Kluyveromyces lactis: one gene and its partner. The protein of the gene in region 1 interacts with the protein of each later gene in a biochemical or structural test. Links are inferred from orthologs where the notes say so. Each region holds a gene or a part of one and is shown in the gene's direction. Other genes may lie near its edges. The genes, in order: OPY2 and STE50.

Region 1 (3,336 bases):
TGCTTAAGATCAACTGATTCATCTTTCAGTTAAACTTTGGAATTTTTTATTTTTCTGTGCTTAACGTGGAACAGAATGGCTCATATTAAAGAATGCAAGCGAATACGGCACATAAAACATCTAACTAGCGGGATTTAGTCTCTTATAAGTTATTAATCTACGGTTCAAGATTGAATCCAGGAAGATGATACCCTTTATACTTATATAGTATCACAAAAACATGAATTAGCTCAAGATATCAATTGATTTCTTCGTTTAAATTAGAATGACAGAAAGTACTTTAATGTCCCGCAGCCGCGATCAGGTACAGATATGTATTGGGACTGTATCGTGAACCCGTTGACTATTTCTGTGTTAACTCTGTGTACGCTTGTAACCTTTTAAGTTGAAGGGGAGGGGAGGCACAAGTGACAGATAATCTGAGTTGCATAACGTATTACCCGGTTGCACCGAGTTACTTTCAAACAAAACTGAAAAGTTTATACACACGTGACACAGAATTCAGGAATCCAAGCTCGAGAATTTGAAAACATTCAGGATCTGATCCGCTCACTCTTTTCTTTTGGAAAATCGCCAAAAGGAAAAGGAAAAGGAAAGACGACTGGCTAGCTTAGAACGGGAAGTACCAAGAGCCATGTATTCAGCCAGAACGTGCAATGAATATGATAGCTAGCTGGATTTTCCAGTGAACGGTATGTGCTAATTGCAATGAAGGTGGTATTGGGTAAGTGAGAGGCCTTTACAAATGAGGAATTTCACGTACTACGGAAGCGGTGAAGTATTTTTCTTGGGCAATGTAAAACAACGTTCAAAGAATTTAGAATTCCGCACGTTGAAACGCTGACGCGATCCAAAAATATAATAGTTTAAAAAGAATCTGAATGGGGTTGTTTCTTGCCTCAGAGGCCTGTGTATTCTATTCCAAAAAAAAAAAATCAGTCGTTTTATAAATTCTGGAGTTGGCCCAATTACAGGCATACATTACAATATAGAATAAAGAGCAGTTTCAATAAATCCATTAGTCAATCAGTTAAAAACTTTTGGTTCACTTTCAGTCTTCTCTTCGAGTTTTGTATTTTCGGTTTTTTTTTTTGGTTCTTCCATAGACAGCGAAAAATCAAAGATTCCATACAGATATCATACTGAACTACTTCCAAAATCTGTTGTATCTGACAAGGAACCACAAGGTCTTTCCACCATCCACCCTTACCGCTAGCTCTTTCTCTATTGTCAAGATAAACAGGGCCATTCCCGGTTTAATATTGTCTGTTGACTTTATATTCATTCTGCTCATCGCGTTCTTTCAGCAGCAGAGCTATTCACCATAGAAGTGATACTGAAATATAGTTTTGGCGATCTAGTACCGGCTTGAAAAATGTCGGAAAGCGTATCCAGTACTGTAAGCAGCAGTGTGTCAAGCACAGCTTCAAGTTCTAGCACTAGTACTGCAAGCTCCGGAACTTCGTTGCAAGATGGTTGTGTCACTTGTGATAACAATGTAACGTGCCCGGAATGTGATGATGATGAGTACTGTGTCACAACATCATTAACGTGCACACAATGCCCAAGAACCTATTGTCAGAAGAAGGCATCTTCAAGCAGTAGTAGTGCATCATCATCATCGTCTGCGGCTGCTATTTCTAGCGGAGCGTCTTCTTCGTCGTCCTCTTCCAGCAATAAGGTCGGACCTATTGTTGGTGGTGTCGTCGGTGGTGTCGCATTCGTAGTCATAGTCGTGGTGTTGGGCTTCTTGTATTACAGATATTATAAAAGAAAACGGTCTGCATTGCCCCAGGATCCCGAATATATGGAAAAAGGTACGAGTCTTGATCCAAACGGATCATCACCGCTTCATCCAGGCATGCTTCGTGTTGGCTCTTCGTCATCACGCGTCAGAGAAAGGAACAAGAGAAATAGAAGTAGCGCTGCCACCGTTCAGACCAGTACCGCATCAAATATCATCCCTGTAGCATATATCCCAGGTGTCACCACGAATCTAACGAAGAAGAATTTGAGGAAAGGCCAAGGAAGAGGTTCAAGAAGATTTTACCAGGATTCAGATCGAAAGTCACATATTACATTGGGGTCCAGTATTCTTGGCGGTGATGAAGATGACGACGACGAGCTCCAACAGAACTTACAAGATTTGAACGAGGAAGAAAGCGGTTCATTTGCAGGGAATAATAATAATGGTGCGGGTGCCACGAATAATATGACTACTGCAATCCGAGCTAGACCGAAATTGGTTCAAATCGATGAAACTGCTGAGGAAGATGAAGATGAAAATGCGAATCATGGAGTAGATCAAGAAGCTGAAGAAGACATCGAAACAGAGGCTAACGAAACGGGCAATACCGATAATCCATCACATTTCAGAGAGACGAATGTTCAAGACAACTCAATTGGTCATGCAGGACACGGCAATGAATCTCAACAGCAACAGGAAGAAGAACAAGGACAAGGGCAACAAGGAGATATACGACACTATAGAAATAGTATGGACTCCTCCAATTCGGACTCACGTGATCCGTTCCATACCACCGTGCATTCATCATCTGACTCAAACAGCGAGGGATCATTCATCTTGGACGTGGAAATGGCAAGTAATCACCATTAAACATGACTACCACTTTCCCTTCCCCACTAATCTTTGGTAACACACCAGTTGTACAATTTTAGATACAGTATGTAATAAGACCTGTTATATCGGGCTAATTCTTGTCAGGAGCACCTGCGTCCTTCGGTATATATGCGAGCCTTTTCCCCCAACAAGCCCCGCAATATACCATAAATCAACGATGCTCTATAAGTTTCCAAATAGAATGTAGGATCTACTGAACCCTGCATGTATATGTCACTCGATCATGTCACAATCTGACTACTTAAAAGAACGTCTCTTAATACGCAATTTTCACTGCCAACATGATTTCCAAACGATATTTGCCAACGAACCAAGAATTATCGGTCCAACTTCGAAAATACTACCTATCCACAGTGTTTTTATATATCTAAGCTATGCTACCCTGGGCTACCCTAGGCTACCCTACCTATATGCTTCCCGTCCGATCTTCGATTAACTCTTAAATCACAATTGCTCACCCAAACATCACATCAGCTTATGCCAAGGGTACAGGCCCTCCACAGTAACCGGAATAACTTACGTCGAACCAAAAAAAGAGGCTAACCCTACTGGCAAACCGTAGTTTCCCCGAGGGAACACAGATACACACATAAATCACATAAATCACTCGGTCAATTGGTATCGACCGATAACTGCAACAGCAAAAACTACCTAGAGGTGCTATTCAGACAGTCACTCGTCGAATATACGCAATT
Region 2 (3,098 bases), on another chromosome or scaffold:
CAATGATCCATTTAGCGATAACAATAAAATTAAGAATTGATGCGATCTCCTGGCGGAGCGTAAAAAACCGTAGAGCCATCTGTTTTAATTGTGTAATATTGTACACCTAATATAACTAAGTGAGCTAAATAATTGCAAACCTACAACTATTTGCCTAATCTGGTGAGCACTAACCTTCCTTGAAGTTCAAACTGCAACTGTTGACACAATGTCTTTGGTCAGTTGGCAAATTCAAGATTTTCTGCCATCCCTCCCCTTCGAACACATGCCCCATATGACCACCGCATCTACTGCAGCATATTTCTATACGAACCATCCCAAACGATTCATCGCGAGTAAAAGTTAAAGATCCCGGTATAGCATCATAAAACGCAGGCCATCCGCAGCCTGAGTCGAACTTCGTCTCACTCTTATAAATAGGCAAATCGCAATTTGCACATGAGTAAATCCCTGTTTGTTTGTTGTGCAAGTAATTTCCTGTGTTTGGTCTCTCCGTACCCTTATCACGTAGTACTCTTAGCTGTTCTGAAGTCAAACTCGGATTCCATTTACCGGTGCTATTCATTGTTCTGTAAAATTGCTTTGATAAGTTTAAAGATAAAATCCTTGAACAACTTCTTGAGAGCATCAAAAGTGTGAAACAATTATGGAGTGGTAAAACTTTAAGAATTATACCTATCAACAAAATAATGAAAGCTGAACAATAGATCCGATGGTGATTACAAATGCGAGTTTCCAGTTGTTTTCTCTTTACGATAGCATGGCTCATCGGCTTCTTGCAGAAAGCTAGTTGAAAAAATCCAAAATTCTATAATTTACAGCTTAAACATCTTTGTCAATAAAGAGCAATCTACAAAACGAAAGAAGGAGGTTGATTACGGAAGCAGCAAACCAGTCCGCCCAGTTTTGACCATTACCACAGCTACTTACCAAATAGAAAATATCATAGACTGTAAACGATATTCAACACTATGTCATCTAATTATCCAACAACAATGTCTTGCACTGATGCATTTGATCAGTTAACAGGATGTTTCAGTTTAGGAGGTCAGTTTAGAAATTACTACAGACATGGCCACATGAACGAATGTCTGAAAGAATTCGAGAAATTTAAGTTTTGTGTGATCCATAGTAAAGATCCCGTGAAGGTACAGGAATGGCACAAAGAGCAGTGGCAGAAGAACCAAGAAAGGAAAGGTACCTCCGATGACATTTGGAAAGAAAGAGTATAAACCATGGCCGTTGGAATGATAGATAGTTGTATATTTTCCACACGTATGTCCTGTAAATAAATGAATCAAAGTTACGATTGCATCGAAATACTTCTAGCGCGAATGTAGTAACAGGATTACCCCGTTCCCCAGGAATCTTATGTCAGAATATTCGCAGGGTTCCTTGTCATTTCTTTATGATTTCCGACAATATGGGAAAATCTATATTTAAACTTAATCGATTATTTGAATAAAACCAAGTGATACCAGAAAGTTGATGAAAGGAGATCCGGGGAACAGCTCAGTCTGTGGAGCATATCATTGAGCCAACAGAAGCATATTGATCAGTGGCTAACCAGTGATTCAATTGTGTTTTTACATCTCTTAAGAACAGGCATAGAAACAAAAACAAATAATGAGCGGTACAAATGAATGGTCAACTGAGGAGGTTTGCAAGAAAGTCAAAGCAGAACTTGGATTAACGGACGGAGATACATTCATCCTAGATAGAATACGAGAGAACAAGATAACTGGATCTACGTTATCTGAAATCACACTTGCCGATTGCAAGGAGTTATGTCCTGATAGCATTAGTGCCGTGAGGCTTAAGACATGCATAAACAAATTTGTTGACACGGAAGAACAAGCACCGGAACAAGAATTAGTGTTGACTATGAAAGGCTTACACCAGACGTTAAATGAAAAGTTACAAGAATTCCAATCTAATTATGCGCAACTCAGATTGGATTTGTTGGAAATCGTGAAGAGGAACAGTGGATCTGGTTCAGGTTCCTCTCAGTCTTCTCAACAACTTCAACATCAACCTTCTTCGCAAGATTACTTCGATAGAGCTCCACACCATTCTTCACACACGCCATCATCACCCAAATACAGATCGAATTCCAATCCAGGGCTGCCACCACAATCTTCAAGCACCAGAAATGTTTCATCGTCACATATTGCCACCACACCCGGATCGGCGAATACTCCAGGCGGAGCTGGAGTATCATCAGCTCCAAGTTCAGAACCTATGAAACAATTACGTGCCTCAAAGGAGGATTCATGTGAAAAGGTTTTAAGAAATGCGATGAAGAGGCACAATTTGAATGAAACGGATTGGAGACAGCATGTTTTAGTGATATGCTATGGAGATCAAGAACGAGTTCTTGATCTCGATGAAAAACCAGTACAGATCTTCAAGTCTTTAAAACAACAAGGCCTGCATCCTGCAATTATGTTAAGACAAAAAGGTGACTTTGAGGAAGTGGGAGAAATGGCAGCAACACCGGGAGGTAGGCTATAATGTTTGTTATCTCCTCCTTCATCAACTGGAAAAAACACTTGGCAAGCAACCATAAACTTTCATTTTAGAGCTTTCATGAACGAATAATTGTATTGATAGATTAATTATCTCTTTCTATAAGAGTTACGTATGTTGTACAAAGACACATTCTCAACTATAGTAAATAACAAATAGAGCACCTTATCAGGAAAGTTTTCTCAAATAATTATGTGTACGGGTTGAACCTTCTTTTGGACTTCATCTCCTTTATCTTTTCTTGATCTTGCTTGAATTTGGCTAGCAACTCATTAATTTCCTGCTTCTTTCTTTCACGGACTTGGAATCTATAGAAGTCCTTCTTTGCCTTCTTGTCAACCATATTAGGCATCTTCTTAGGTTTCTCATGCTTTAATAATGGATTTCTGTTGAATATCTTTTTCCTTATGCTGTTTAATGATTTTGTATTCTTTCCTACTACTAATGTGAAACCATCTTCATCAACAATAGATGATTGTACTTCTTCTTGAGCTTGCTGTTCTCTTTGTTCGAAAAGAGCCATATGTTCATGTATATCCGTTTTCAAATATTTTAACGGTAATGGACGG

Evidence for each region.
Region 2: the proteins of OPY2 (region 1) and STE50 form a complex in vitro, tested with the Saccharomyces cerevisiae proteins (3 studies listed by BioGRID, with this or other methods). The link is inferred for Kluyveromyces lactis from reciprocal best matches to the Saccharomyces cerevisiae genes OPY2 and STE50.

Annotation. Positions count from the first base shown.
Region 1 is NC_006038.1:796,393-799,728, forward strand, and holds OPY2 (Opy2p), read left to right. Parts: upstream 1-1,375; coding exon 1,376-2,617; downstream 2,618-3,336.
Region 2 is NC_006039.1:104,186-107,283, forward strand, and holds STE50 (Ste50p), read left to right. Parts: upstream 1-1,626; coding exon 1,627-2,514; downstream 2,515-3,098. Other genes in the region: LSB5 (Lsb5p), read left to right, coding at 1-40; MXR2 (peptide-methionine (R)-S-oxide reductase), read right to left, coding at 170-769; EMI1 (Emi1p), read left to right, coding at 972-1,232; RRP7 (Rrp7p), read right to left, coding at 2,720-3,098.